Tamandua tetradactyla: one gene and its partner. The protein of the gene in region 1 interacts with the protein of each later gene in a biochemical or structural test. Links are inferred from orthologs where the notes say so. Each region holds a gene or a part of one and is shown in the gene's direction. Other genes may lie near its edges.

Evidence for each region. The genes of interacting proteins can lie anywhere in the genome.
Region 2: of the proteins of HDAC4 (region 1) and CAMK2D, one has a biochemical effect on the other in vitro, tested with the Homo sapiens proteins (2 studies listed by BioGRID, with this or other methods). The link is inferred for Tamandua tetradactyla from reciprocal best matches to the Homo sapiens genes HDAC4 and CAMK2D.

The regions. Positions count from the first base shown.
Region 1 is NC_135329.1:216,321,060-216,328,770, reverse strand, and holds the start of HDAC4 (histone deacetylase 4), read left to right. Parts: upstream 1-4,705; 5' UTR 4,706-5,433; coding exon 5,434-5,620; intron 5,621-7,711. UniProt on the Homo sapiens protein: Responsible for the deacetylation of lysine residues on the N-terminal part of the core histones (H2A, H2B, H3 and H4).
Region 2 is NC_135350.1:8,363,029-8,370,642, forward strand, and holds the start of CAMK2D (calcium/calmodulin-dependent protein kinase type II subunit delta), read left to right. Parts: upstream 1-4,598; 5' UTR 4,599-5,091; coding exon 5,092-5,156; intron 5,157-6,685; coding exon 6,686-6,780; intron 6,781-7,614. UniProt on the Homo sapiens protein: Calcium/calmodulin-dependent protein kinase involved in the regulation of Ca(2+) homeostatis and excitation-contraction coupling (ECC) in heart by targeting ion channels, transporters and accessory proteins involved in Ca(2+) influx into the myocyte, Ca(2+) release from the sarcoplasmic reticulum (SR), SR Ca(2+) uptake and Na(+) and K(+) channel transport.

The DNA.
Region 1 (7,711 bases):
ACTAAATTTTTCTTTGCAGTGTGAAGTTCTTTTATTGTCCTTTGGCGTTTTGTGCTGTTATTGCTGATGAGAAGTTAGATCTTGGTGTAGGTTTTGTTTCTTAGGGTCTTTTTTGTCTAGGAGGTTTTCAGATTTTTTCCCCATGTTTGGTGTCTGACGTTTTATTGGGATGTGTCTACTTGTGGATTTGTACTGGTTTATCCTTCTTTTTTCATTTTTATTACCATACCGATTTAATTATATGGGTTATAGACCTAACTGTAAAACTTTAAAGTATGAATCTTCTAGAATGAAATAGGGTCACAAATATTTATTCCTATGTTAGGCAAAGATTTTTTTAGATACATTAACAAATGCCTGGTGTATAAAACGACAAAGTGAAAAGTTGAGCTTAAAGTTAAAGCCTCTGCTTTTGGATCAATACTTTTAGGAGAATATAAACCCTAGGCTTGAGGAAATGGCTAAAATGGAAAAAAAATTGTACCAATTGTTGGCAAAGATGTGAAAGAACTGGAGCTTTCATGTACAGTGGGCGAGACTGTAAAATGATACAGTTGCGTTGGAAAACCATTCATCAGTTTCTTAAAAAGTTAGACGCACACCTCCCATGTGATCTAAATGTTCTACTTCTAGGTAACGAAGAGATAAGAAAGCAAGTGCCCATACAGTAGCATGCTTTTTAAACCTAACTCTTATCTTTCTGGAATTATGGAATATTCTTGATTCATTATCTCTTTGAATAGTACTTCTTTTCCATGATTTCCATTCTTTACTCCTTGAGTTCATGCTCGGTATTTGTTGGGCCATCACACTGTTTTACTCAAGCTGCTTTTCTCCTTACCCTTTTTTTTTTTTTTTTTTTTTACATGGGCAGGCCCTGGGAATCGAACTCAGGTCTCTGGCACTCTGGCATGCAAGTGAAATCTTGCCACTGAGCCACCATGGCCCGCCCTCCTTACCTTTTTATAATGTATTCTGGTGATTCAGATCTATCTACCAATTCAGTGTTCTGTCTCTAGCTATGCCCAATCAGCTATTTTCAGTGGCTCTATGTTTTTTTATTTTTGCATGGGTAGGCACTGGGAATCGAACCCAGGTCTCTGCCATGGCCTGCTGAGCTTGTGTGGGCCGCCCAGTGGCTCTACTTTTCAATTTTAGAAAATTCGTTATTAAAAAAAAAAAGTCCATTTCTTTTTCCATGGTTTCTTTCTTACATTATAGGCTTTTCCTTCATATAACTTCTTGCTTTTTAAAAACATGCATGTATTAGTTTTTTCCATATTGTTTTGTTCTCTGTGGATATTGTGGAGTCCTTTCTCTGTTTTGTTGTGCTTGCTGATTCTCTCCTCGTTACTGTGTGTCATTTGTAATTTTAGATTTTTATTGTAAATTTGTCTTCAAGAGGAAGTTTTCTCTTTTCCCCTTTTTTCCCTCCTTCTTTGGGTGTCTCATGTGCCCTGGAATTATTGATGCCCTGGATTGTAGAACCTTTTTGTTTTGTTTTCCTGTGGACCCCAGGTTTCCCAAGTTCTGGCCTAGTCTTATTTCTTAATTTCTAGACCTGAGATTGCATGAATAGGACATGAATTTGGAGGCTCCTTCCATAAAGGCATGGTCGTAGGGGAGTCTGCTTCTCACAGCAGGTTCTTCACAGCTCCTTCTTGGCCTAACAGGTGGGTTTCCAGTCCCCCTTTCCTAGATTGGATGGCCCTTGGAGAGCTCTGTCCTGATGCATCGTCCTCAGTTTCAGCTCTCTGCCCATGGCGTGCCCAAGGCAACATCTGCTACCCAGTAAGGTCCTTTCAGCCCTCTGTTCTGAAGCCTCTATCCCAGATAGGCAGCTGGACTTCAGCAAACTTGCTTAGAGCACCCATTGGTAACCAGAATCTTCTCTTTCTTTTGAGCTGAACTCTGTGTGGAAAGTGAGGTGTGGGGATTATATTCTGTATTCTAATCATAATTTCTGTATTCTTGGAGTGGGAGGTGTGGGGCATTGAGCAGATTTCAGGAACCTGAGGTTCTAATTAGCTCTGTCTACTGCTTAACTTGGTGTTTGGCCATCAGTAGGATGTGTGTCTTCTAATGTATGAAACTGGATCTTGGGCTGCAGGTGCCTCTTAGTTCAGACTGTCCGTATGAGGAGCACGCATCTGACACCGATGTGCTCCCTCTCCTCTTTCCTTGTAGTTGCAGTTGAGCTCAAAGCTTGCCCTTTGAACTGCCTGAAAATGTAGAGCAGCCATGTTTCTTGAAGGTGATTGTATAATGATACAGCTTTCGCAATGTGTGATTGTGAAAACCTTATGTCTGATGCTTCTTTTATTTACCTTATGAGTAAAACATATGGATTAAAAATAAATAAATAATGGGGGAACAGATGTTAAAATAAATTTAGTAAATTGAAATGCTAATGATCAGTGAAAGGGAGGGGCAAGGGGTATGGTATGTATAAATTTTTTTTCTGTTTTCTTTTTATATTTATTTCTGAATTGATGCAAATGTTCTAAGAGATGATCATGATGATGAATGTGCAACTATGTGATAAAAAAAGAATGTTCATATTGTGTGTTGATTGGTTTTATTAATAAAAATTTTTTAAAAAGTGAAAGTCTATTCAGCAGTCGACCTATACGATGATACTGTGAGCCACTGATTGTACAGTGTGGGTGATTATATGGCATCTGAATATATGATGTATCTCAATAAAACTGCATTATAAAAAAGTGAAAGCAAAACTAAAGATAACACACTTGCCAAATAATTTGAGTAGTGAATCTTTCTAGATGTTTTTTCAAGCAGTAAAAAAAAAAAAAAGCTTGCTCTCCTTTCTGTTGTGGACACTTAAGTGTGAGCCGCCACAGCACAGCGCCCGCCTTGGCCACAGAGGGCCTGTGGGTCCCACGTCGCAGGTGCCATCCGTCCAGAGGTGGACAGCCCTGTGGATTGGTTTCAGGTGAAGAAAGCTGCGTCTCTGTTCTGTTTTGGTGTGATTTCTACAGTTTCCCCTTGCCCGTTGATTTTGCGTGTTATTGGCAATCCTTTGTAGTGGTACATGTTTTAGCGTCTTGGTTGTGGATGGAATTATAGGAAACGAATCTGTTCCGAGCTGCTGAAGGATTGCAGTAGCTTATGAGAGGAGGAAGCCATGCCGCGAGATCAGTGCTGTCCAGGAAGTGGGTGACCTGTGCGTTGGAAGCCCCTTTTGTGGCGCTGCAGCTCCTCTCTGCGGGGCCTGTGTGCAGGAGGCGACCTGGGGAAGTGGGGTGCAGGAGCACAGCCGGCTGGGTGCCCAGGGCCCAGGGCGCTGTGTCGCGGGTCCTGGGGGAGGGAGCATTGCCTGGTGGTGTGCCCCTTGAGGTCGAGCTGGATCGTGAGGGCGCGTGCGAGCCGGTCGGGGGAGAGGTGGCTCTGTTACTTCTACACTGAGAATCAAAAATTAACTCCATTACAAAAAGTAGAGCATGGTTTAGATGAGCTAGGGATTTCAGTCTACAATTTTTGATATTTCTGTTCTCATAGTGAGGAGACTTGCAAAAATTAGAGAAAGCTGTTTCAGAAAACCATATTTTTAATGTATGGGTCTTTGGGTATAGTCTGCTGCTTTCTAGATTGGCATTAAGACAAGACCCAGTCCTCTGGAGAAGGATGGACGCAGCCCCATCTGTCTTTGGCAAGGAGATTCAGCAGGATACGCCGTCATCCGCACTCTGGGGTGGAAGCTTCTTCGCTGCTCTGCTCTTTCCTCCGTGCTGCTGCTCTCCCGCTTTCATGTCCCTCTCAGATCTGGGAGATGCTTCTCTGGCAGCCAAGCTGGCCGTGCTGCACACTCAGACACTGCGTGGCAGAGCTTTGCCTCCCGTGGCGCCCGGCGATGCAGCTTGTCAGCCCCTGCTGCGTGCCCAGCGTCAGCCAGGGGCCTCCATGGGGGCCCGTTGGAACTCTGCCCCGAGAGGGGGGCAGTAGGAGCCCCCCTGTCCTAGAGATGTGGGAAATGAGGCCCCTGCTGCATTAGGTCATTTGGGGACGTAGAGGGGCCTCTAGAGGGCACCTGGCTCCCAGGCCCCCTGGCCCCCGGCAGAGCCTCGGTGCTGCCTCTCCAGGTGCCTCGGGCTCCATCGTGGCGAGACCACAGCTGAACAGTCTAGAAGGGCAGACATGCACATCCTGCCAATGGCGTGAAGCGTGGTTGACATCTAACAGCAGATTGCTTCTGCTGTCGGTAGCTCCATTTTTAGAAGATGAAAATAGAACACTCCACAGGGTAATCGCTGTATTTTTAGACATTCAGGTTTGTGGTGTATAACAGCGATCATAAAAGAAACAGTGGTAAGGTTTAGTTCATCTTGATTTGGGGGAGTTGTGATTTGTACAGTATATCCATATTGTATAAAACAAATACACAAGAGTGATTTCTACAGATTGTGCACCAGCTATTCAGAGGACCCAGGGGAGTTGGTTCTGTTGGCGGGAGGAGGGTGTGCTGTGGCATTCTTGCGATACATGGTAATGATGCAGATACCTCGCATGCACATTTCTACCTTGCAGGAGCCTGCACTAGGGTGTCTGTAGGTGAGAGCAGGGCCATGAAGTGGGGGTAGGGTGCAGGAGAGTGTCGCCCTGGCCGTGGGCAGCGGGCTGGGTGAGGAGGAGCCGCTAGGAGTTAGCTGGTGTCTCCCAGCTGTGGTCTTGGGACGGTGAGTCTGGTGTCTCTCCCTAGCGGGATGGGAAAGGCAAGGGACCCTGCAGCCTACTGAGGGTGATGGGGGGACCTCTGGACCACCTCATGACACTAGTTTCTGGAGACGTTTGTGCAGGAGATTGGCCCGGACTGGTTCCGGTGGGGATGCCGAGTCTGGGTGGTCATCTCTGGAGTTTGAATGCAGGTGCGAGGCCGCCGTGCCCCTGTGTGTGCCCTCCGCGGGCCTGGCCTCTGTCCTCCTGGGTTCTCAACCCTAAGGGGATCCTACTCGGGTCCTGATAATGCGTATTGAGTAAATGAGTTTAAACGAAATAAAATGGCATTTTATTTACCTGGAAGACATCTGTGCGTGATAAGAAGGAAACCTGTGGGAAGGAACTGTGTCTCTCCCCAGCTCCGCCGTGCGACAGTGCTGGGGGTGGCGTCCTGACGCCCAGTGAACAAGGACAGTGGCAGCCGCCGCCCTGCCCTCCAGACGTGCGGCCCGTCCCCCGGCCGTGCGCCTGGGGAGGGTATTCAGCTGATGGTGTGGGCGAGCTGCAGCCAGTGGGAAGTAGCAGGGAGTTGAATTAAATATACGTTCATTGCTTGTATATACTTTATGTCAGTTTTTTCCACAAGATTTCTGAATGGCGTGTGTGCCATATAATATTTAATGTGCTTTTGTGTTTTTAATTTACCAGCTCAGCTAGAGAGATTGATAAATCCTTTGAAGGACTGCGGCCCTGCCCAGGATGGGTGTGTGTCTGGCCCTGAGGACCTGCTGGTCTGACCTTCATGGAGTCGCTCCTTGTCCTTGTTCATTTCTGCGGTGTCGACGTGGGGACGGTCATTTTCCTGTACCGTGCCGATGCGAGGACAAGGGACTGCTGACTGTGCCTCGCCCAGAGGAGGTCTCTGGGCAGTTAGGGTTATTAGAATGTAAGCATTTTTCTTTAGTTTACCGATTTCCAGGAAGAACAATCACTTGGAAAGATACAGTGAATTCAAGCAAATATCATCCTAAGGAAAGAACCTCTCTTTCCCTGTGGGGGCTGCTGGTGGCCATTAGTGTCTGCTCTGAGCAGACCTTGCTGGGTAGGGCCCCGAGACCACAGAGTACTTTGTGGACTGCTCCTGCGTGGGGTGGGGGGTGTGGAGCCCAGCATGGGGAGCACGTTGCTGGGGGTTGCTGGGGGCTGGACTGCTACCGCCTCGCACTCTCTCCCCTTTGCTTGGCAGTCGGCCAGATCGGTCACTTCTGAAGCGTTGTGTTGTGGCTGGGAGGGCAACAAGTCCTTTTCCTGTGCCAAGGGTACGGGCACCTTAAAGTGGGTGTGGGTGGAGGACTCGGAAGGAAGGGGTCTGTGGCTCAGTTTCTTTCCATCTCGCTGTTGGCCTGAAAGCCCTACAGCCACATGCAAGCTCTTTCCAAATGTCCATTCTTGTTTTTTTGTTAAGATTTTGCGACTCATTTCTCATGAGCTGCTTAATATGCACTATTTTCCAGCTTCCTGTTGCTTCACCACAAACACCTTCGAGCTAATTTTTATACTCAGCAGTGTGGAAGGTGAATTGGGGGTGGCTTGTCTCTAGGTGGCTTTAGATGCTGACTCACTTTTCTGGCAGGAGCGTTTGCCCTGCTCAGGCGCCCTGGCACAGCATATGTGCATACGTGCTCCTGGAGGGCAGGTGCAGTGGAGGCACAGACAGCCTCCTGGGCTTCGTGCCCCATCCCTTAGCTACATTTTTAGTTTATTTCTCGTTTCTGCCTCCAGTGTCACTTAACAGGTGGGAACATTGAGGCTGAGAGTGTAATTCCTGAGGTAGCTGGAAGTGGGTAGAAACCAGCCCGAGGGCTCCAGGACACAGTCCCCTCCTGCTGTCGTCTGCACCTGGCCAGGTCAAGGCTTGAACCCAGCCGGGCATTTTGTTGCTGGAGGGCTTGGCAAATCAGATGTTTTAGTTCAGGAATTAGGATGCCTGCAGGAAAATAAAAGTGGTAGGTACAATTTAAAGTTTTCACAAACTTGCAGGTTGGGTCCTAGCAGTAAGGAAAATGCGTGATTATTTACAGATATCTTTATTTCTTGGCTGATAATGACTTTTGCTTTCCATGGCTGTTGATTTAAATCTAAGGGACTGTGCCATTTGAATCTGTTGTGTACTGCAGAAAAGCCTTGTCCTTCAATCTTCATTCAGTAATGCTGGGTGGGGTCTTTTTTGACTGTTTCCATGGAGATGTGACCCACCCAATTGTGGGTGGTAACTTTTGATTAGATGGTTTCCATGGAGATGTGTCTCCACCTATTCAAGGTGGGGTTGCTTACTGGAGCCCTTTAAGAGGGAACCATTTTGGAAGAAAGCTTTAGAGCCGCCAGAACCAACAGAGCCCACACAGCCAGAGACTGTTGGATATGAGGAAAGAAAATGCTCCCGGGAAGCTGTTGGAGAAGCCAGGAGAGAAAGCTAGCAGGCATCACCATGTGCCTTTCCAGTTGAAAGAGAAACTTGAAATATCATCAGCCTTCTTAAACCAGGGTATCTTTCCCTGGATGCCTTAATTTGGATACTCTCCCTTGACTTAATTTGGATTATTTCATGGCCTTAGAACTATAAACTTGTAACTTATTAAATTCCCCATTTACAAAACTGTTCCATTTCTGGTATATTGCGTTCTGGCAGCTTGCAGACTAAAGCAGGGTCCTATACGGAAAACCGTTTATTCATCGTGATGATTAGGTTCATGTGCCGTCTCGGTCAGGTGATGGTACCCTGTTGTTCGGTCAAGCAAGCATTGGCCTGTCTGTGGTTGGGAGGACGTTCATGGACTTGAACCACGAGCAAGTTGGTTGCATCCATGGCTGGTACATCTGTAGTTGGCTAAGGGGAGTGTCTTCTGCAACGAGTGACAATTAATCTAATCACCTGAAGTCTTTAGAAGAGAATTCAGAGAGAGAATCTCTTTCCGCTTGAGCCAGCCAGACTCTCCTAAGGAGCTTGTTGAAGACCTTCACTGGAGCTGCCCGCTCG
Region 2 (7,614 bases), on another chromosome or scaffold:
AAAGCAGAGGATGGGAATAGAAACTGTGAGAGGTGCAATAACTGAAGGGAAGGCCTCACTGATAAGGTGACAGTTGAGAAAAGATGGGAAGGAGGTCAGGGAAAGAGAAAGGAGGATAACTAAGAAAAGAACATTCCAGGCAGAATGAAACAGCAAGTACAAATTCCCTAATCAGAAGCATACTGCGTGTGTTTCAGGGTCACCAAGTTGGTGAGTGTGACTGCAGCAGAGTGAGCTACAGCAGGAGATGAATTTAGGAGGGTAATGGGGTGATAGCGATGGACAGAACCCTTAGGGTCTTGTAGGCATTTTTAAAACTTTGGTTTTTAGTCCAATTGAGATGGAAACCCCTCAGAAGGTTTGGATCAGAGGCATTTGATCTGACTGAAGTTTTAAGAAAATCATTCTGGCTGTTGTGCTGAGACTGGAATGAAGGGGGACAAAACCAGAAATGAGAGTGATAAGGGGCTACTGAATGAAACAACAGAAGATCATAATCCAAATTCATTTCTGCATAATTCTAGAAGGAATAGTAATTTGTGAAGCAGATTTAACTTTCTAATTGCTAATACTGAAATAATTTTTTATACTGTATGTAAGGTATAAGGAGAAGCTTGAAAATAATAATAGAGTGCGAATGATCACTATTATGAGTTTATGGTCTTAAATGATGGTATAACAGTATCCGTGTTAAAGATCATTTCAGGCACTATAATTAAAATATTGTACCTTCTATAAATTAGGTCTGTCTATTTTAGTTTATAAAATTATCATATGTTCATTGTAGAATATTTCAACAAAGCACATAGCAATCATTGAATGTCTCTGATTCTATATTTTTTTTATTGTGAAACATAACATAATATACAAAAAAACCCCAATAAATTTCAAAGTATTTTAACAAGTAGTTATAGAAGAGACTTCAATGTTTGATATGGTCATGGTTCCACAATTTCAGATTTTTCCTTCAACTCTTCTAAGACACTGGAGTCTAGAAAGAAATACCTGATTCTATACTAATAAAATTGGATCTTATGAATGAAAATACTAATCTGGTTCCATATTAATGATAGTCAAATTAAACAAACAATGAAATAATCATATGGGTTTTGGCCCCTTGTATTCCTTTCCTAAAGTTCCTCCTCATTTTATTCATGGGAGCTGTTTAAGTGGATGATAAAATGTATATACATTGTGGCACTCACTAAACTGAATTAAATATAACATCTACTGTTATTTTACTTTATGGGTCTACATTTTTTTTTAATTTAACTTTATCTTTTAGCCATTATTCCTGAAATTATATTGAAATAGAGCTCAAAAACCTTTGACTTGATTACTGTCTTTTAGAGGTCCAGACTCAAGAAATAGCTGATATATTTGTTTAAATTAGAGAAATGTTTTCATCTAAGATAAAGGTTCAGTACAAATATAGATAAAGCAAACAGTGCTTGCTTAAAAATGTACGTGCTTACTGTCTAATACTATATTCGTATTAAAACTCAGTTAATATTCTTTATACTGCACAATTATCATAACCATTTGCAATTATCTGTAGTTTAAATAACTGAGATAAATACTGTAATTATGTAGACTTCATTACTTGAATATTTAAAAAACAATTTTCCTCACAGAGTTAAAATTTTATATTACTTATATTTATTGTTTTAATTTCACTTTTCTTGTTTTAGTTTTAGATTCAGATGATATATTAAATGATCACATTATAACTTGGAGTCATATTGCTAAATTTTTACAATAAAATCTAAAACTCTTTTGCCTAGATCAAATTGCTTTTTTTCCTTACAATTTTATAGAACAAATATTAATATTTAGATAACATATTTCTTTGCTCTATATAGCTTTGGATATCATCTTTTATAGGATCATCTTATACAATGCTACGCTTGCTTAAAATAAATGATGATAACATATTTACAACATACCATTTTCAATTTTAACCACTTTCAAACATGCAGATCAGTGGTGTTAATTATATTCTCTGTTGTGCTACCATCACCATCCATTACCAAAACTTTTCCATTACCCCAAACAGCAACTCAGTACCCATTAATCACTAATTCCGTGTTCCAAAACCCACTTCTGCCCTTGGTAGTCTGTAATCTTTTTTGTCTTTATAAATTTGTATATTCTACTTTTATCCAAATAACTGTGTTCATACAATATTTGCTCTTCTGTGCCTGGTTTATTTCATTCCACATAATGTCGTCAAGGTTCATCCATATTGTTACATGTTTCAGAATTTTATTGTTTTATAGCTACATATTAGTCCATCAATGTACATACCACGTTTATCCATTCATGTATCAATAGACACTTGGGTTACTTTTACTTTTGTGAATAATGCTACTCTTTTCAAGTCCCTGCTTTCAATTTCTTTGAGTATATACCTAGAAGTGGGATTACTGGGTCATATGGTAATTCTATACTTAAGTTTTTGAGGCACTGCCAAACTGTTTTCCACAGCTGCTATATCATTATACATTCCACAGTGGCTATACCATTATACAATGTCTGGGTGGGGGAGCGGGGTTTCCATTTCTCTGCATCCCTGCCAATATTTACTCTCCTTTTTTAAAATAACAGACATTCTACTGGGTGAGAGGCAGTATTTCATCATTTTGATTTGCATTTCCCTAATGGCTAATGATGTTGAGCATCTTTTCATGTACTTATTGGCCACTTGTATATCTTCTTCGGAGTATACTTGCTTTTTACACCTGGGTAACAGAATATTTACATACAAACCAGTTTTGTTAAAGTATTAAACATTATGAGCATTTTGAGTACTTCCATAAAACTGCAATTATTGGCAGAATAGCATTGCCCAAATCAGAAAATTAGGGAACTTTAGGATTATATGTGACAGTAGACAAGATAATCAATTAATCCTAGTTCATGAGCACAAGCCACAACCCCTTTAAGCCTTAAGAATCTCAATATCTGCAAATGATATTTTTCTGTCCATCTCCGCTGTGAAATTTCGACTCTATGGATGAACAAATCTGGATTAAAACTGCAAGGTTTTCAGGGCTCATGCTGAAGAACAAAAGGCAATAATTTGAAAAGGCTCCTCTGATGAACAAAAGGCAGTAATTCGAAAAAGACAATTCATAATTTCTTTGTTTCTGTTCTGCCTCTAAATTCGAAATGCTCTAATTTATTTAAGATATAGGGATGACCAAGGGTAGTTCTAGCAATTAACTTACATATTTTAAATATAATGCATACTTATTTTCCCTCTTACTGTATACAATGACGGCTATGTTAATAGAGTAAGGAACATACTTGAATAGTTGAGTGTTTTTTCAGTTACACCGTTAGGAATTACACTCATGTGCAACTATTTGGCCAAATCTTTGCTCCTGCAAGCAAAGCACCCACGACCTCTTTTCCTCTTTCCTTTCGCAAAGCGAAACAGGCTAGCGGCGGTTCCTGTGATAAGAGTGACGTCAGCCCCCATGGGTCGCGTGACCGACACCCAGCCTTCCCATTTCCCCGCCCCCGCGGCGGAGCGGGAGATCGCGCGAGAACTCGTCTTACTATCAGCATTAGTGAGGTTCACAGTGGAGTTTACTCCGAAGAGAAGGGAAGGGAAGGTGTGGCCCGGTGGAAGGGTTTTTGCTTTCATTCTGTTAACGTTCATGGCCGAAGCAAAGGCCTTTGGGGACTGCCAGATTCTGAGCAACCCAATCTGGAAAACGGCGGGGGAGGCGGAGGATGAGGTTGCAGTCAAATCAGGAGTGAAACGTGGCGCACCCGCCGGCGTCGCCGTCGCTAATGGGGTTGTGGGGGAGGGAGCAGCCCGGCGCCCGGCGCCTGGGAGCTGGCGTTGCGGCGAGCGCGGCTTCCGCTGGCGTGGGACCCGACCCTGACTTGGGAGACGGGTGAACCTTCTCTAGAAGCAGCCAGCTGCGCACACCCGGGCCCCGTGTCAACACGGAGCGGCGCCAAGTGGTAGCGCCGCTCGCTCTCCCGCCCGGGGCGCATTGTCCCTCGTGCCTGGCGCCCACATCGGGGCTGGGGGGCTTCCACGACCCCCCCAGACGGTTCACGAGTCGTCCGCCTCCTGCTGCTAAATTTAGTCCCAGATTTGGGCAGGAGCCTTTCTGCGGGTTTAAGTGGGTACCTTTGATGTCTGGCCTCGTTCACCTAAGCTCCCTCCGGGATTCTTCCCCCGCGCATCCTCCTCCTGCCCCTTGGACTCTCCCCTAGACGGGCGTGTGCGTGCGGGAGGCCAAGGGAGGGAGGGAGAAAGCCACGAAGGGAGAGGATTGGAGTCGCTAGAGGGAGGTGTGGGACCAGCGAGGGAGGGTGCTGGCAGGCGGAGGGCGCGGCGGGAGGAGGGGCCGGAGGAGGAGGCGGAGGCCTGGGGACGGCAGAAGAGGCTTAGCCTGAGCCGAGCACTCTTTCTCTCCCCGCGCAGTCGCCAAGCCGCGCGGGCTCCTTGGGGAGCGCGAGGACGCGGAGGTGCCGGGCCCAGTCCTTGCGGCCGCTGCCCGCGGGAGGGAGGTCGGTGCCAGGAGCGCGCGCTCAGCTGAGTCCCCGCGCGCCCCGCGCCCGCTGACAGCTGCAGCTGGGCTCGAAGCTGTCCGCTACACGCTCGGCGGCCTCGGCCCCTCGCACCTCCCCCGCCCCCTTCGGGTTCCTTCCCCGCCGCCTCTGTCCCTCCCGTCGCTGGTGCGGCTCCTTTCGCAAGTATTCGCCTCCCGCCCGATGCCCGGCTGCTTTTTTTCATATCTCGGCCCCGTCTTCTTGAATACTTTGCCCCCTGCACTTGGGGAGAGGGGCTGGTAAGGGCGGGTGGAGCATCTAGAGAAGAAGGAAGCAAGGCTTGGAGGAGGAGGCGGATCGGCGGACAGTAAGGAGGAGACCCCACGCCGCCCTTTCTGGTCATCTCCCCTCCCACCCCGCCCCTGCGCACACTCCCTCCCGGGCGAGCTACTTTCGGACGAGAAAAGTGAGGGCGGCCCTGGGTGACAGCGTTGCAGGGCCAGTCCCAGCGAAGCCGCGCGACTGCTCGCGTCTCGTCCGCCGCCCTTCGAGCCAGGGGCACAGTCCGGACCGAGGATGGCTTCGACGACAACCTGCACCAGGTTCACGGACGAGTATCAGCTTTTCGAGGAGCTCGGAAAGTAAGCGCCTTTGCCCGGCATACTCACATCCCCTTTCCAGCAGAGGGCGGGTGGCGTTGCCCCTGACCTGTCGGCCTCCGGAGTGGGGCGAGGGAGTTTGGGAAACCAGGGAAAGAGGGGGGTTCCTGCTTTATCAGCTGCCTTAGAAGAGGACTGGGGCAAGGGAGGGGAAAGACCCCCACCCCTGCTGTGGCCCCTTCTGATAATCCCTCCCTCCCTCCTACTCTTTAACCCAGAGACTTAGTGAATTTACGACCTCTGCAGTTGTAGCTGTCATCCTGAAAAGTGCGTGTGTGTGTAGGAAACAAGAATCTATGTAAATGCGATGTAGATCACGTTTTGTGTAAATAGAGATGCCTCCCTCCGGGTTAGCCGGCGTGTCGGCGGTATAACCCACATACGAATGAGAACTCACTGCCCCAGACGGTGCCATATTTATTGATGCCGAAAGTTCAACTTGTCGTAGAGTCTATTTTGCATCCAGTAGTTCTGTCCAGGAAAAGGGCCACCCAACGGAGTCGACCACCCTACCCGATATCATCAATTATTCTTTGCACTAGATTACTTGCATATCATCATCCTTTCTAGTATATACTTGTGCATCTCCGCGTTTTCTGTGCGGATTTATTTGTACAGGTAGCGGAAAAGCCCTCTGTAGATTGGAGGAGCGCTTCCCAAGGGTAGCCTAGCATAGTATAAAACGACCCCCTGCACCCGCTGGCAGAACTGCTTGTAGATGTTAAGGAAGGGTACTGGAGACCTAGCCAAGACCTGTGCGAAGGGACCTAGGGGCCGAGCCCTGATTGTTGATTTATGTAGCAGCAAACCCAAACCCAATTCCTCTTTTCCTAGTTTCGATTATTACTTATGAAAGGGGTGTGTTTGTGTCCAAGCTGCTGGTTTATACTGTTGAATTACAGGACCTGTAACTATCTTTTAAATGTAATGAGAATCATGTCTATATATTGTCTGCTGTCGAAACATGGAGAATATGTCGGAAGAGCAGCTTAATTCAAATATCTCCCCTCCCCCAATCCCAAACAGCGCATAGTGAAATAACCATACCAGGTTTTGTTAAACCACACAAATGTGCTCACGATTTTTATTTTAATGAAAGTAATGGCCATATATGCTTGGAGCCACATTAATTTTTCCCCTACCAAATAAAAAGACAGCAGATTTTTGCTGCTCCTTCTCAGCTCTGCTCTTTGCAGGATTTTCTCAGAGCATTTGGTGCTGAGTGTGAATTGTAAAATGTTTTCAAATTTCATGTGCAAACAAGAGCCGTCATTGTTGGCAGTTCTTTTCATTTTGTTGATTAATAATTTGTTAAATAAAATTCACTTTTATTCTCAAACATTGAAGAAGATCTGGGTTTCCAGACAGAATTGTTCTTTTTCTGGACCTTACTCTAGTGCACTGATGTTTGATAATTCACTGAAATCAATAAAAATGATTAGGTTGTCATAGTATTTTAATAGCGTATCAGAGCTGATTATATTGATGACCTGCTAATTATTGGTTTTCAGGGGGGCATTCTCAGTGGTGAGAAGATGTATGAAAATTCCTACTGGCCAAGAATATGCTGCCAAAATTATCAACACCAAAAAGCTTTCTGCTAGGGGTGGGTATTTTCAACCACATATTTATATATGTGAATTTTCTGTTTGTCCTGTTGATTGTTGGTTCTCTTGTATGTAAATGTGTCATGTAGTTATAATTGAATTGTAGATTTAGATATCATTTTATGTATTGAGATTATTTCCTTCTTGTATGACTCTTGGTTTGTACTGGTTTAAAAGTAAATGAAAGAATATGATTGTTATTATTTAATACATTGTTATTAAAATTCTATCTTTCCTATGAGCAGTAGCATAAATAACTAATTTTAAAACAAATAAATGTCACTAAGTACATTTTGCCTTCAGCTCCAGTGTGAAATAACTTTCAGAAGGATTTGGAATGGAAAAATATAAGTCTCACAACTGCCATAATTTCCTTTTACTTTTCAGAGGTAAAATAGGTCACAGCTCAGTTGAATCATATATTTCAATTGCAGTTACACTTGAACTTAATTCATCAAAGCATATTTAACAGTACCAGCTTTGGGAGGAAGCATGTTTGCTGTATTTTAGGGAGTTTGGGTTGATTTTGACGTGTTTGTGTGCAGTTAAGACCTTTATTTGGTCTCCTGCATTAAGGTTTCTCTCACACACATGTAATGTATTTTACACGTGCAGTTTATAGCCACAGAGGTAATTCATACTTCCAACATAGCTGTTGACATCATTAAAAATCTTGGCGGGCCCTCGCTGTGATTTAGTTTGTCGAACTCCAGCAAAAGCACTTATAAACTCATGTTAGGTATTCCAGTTATTGTGAGCACATGCCTAAGGTATTTCCATGGGAATATATGGTTTTATGAAATGAAAATGTACAAAATGCTGTAGTGTAAACC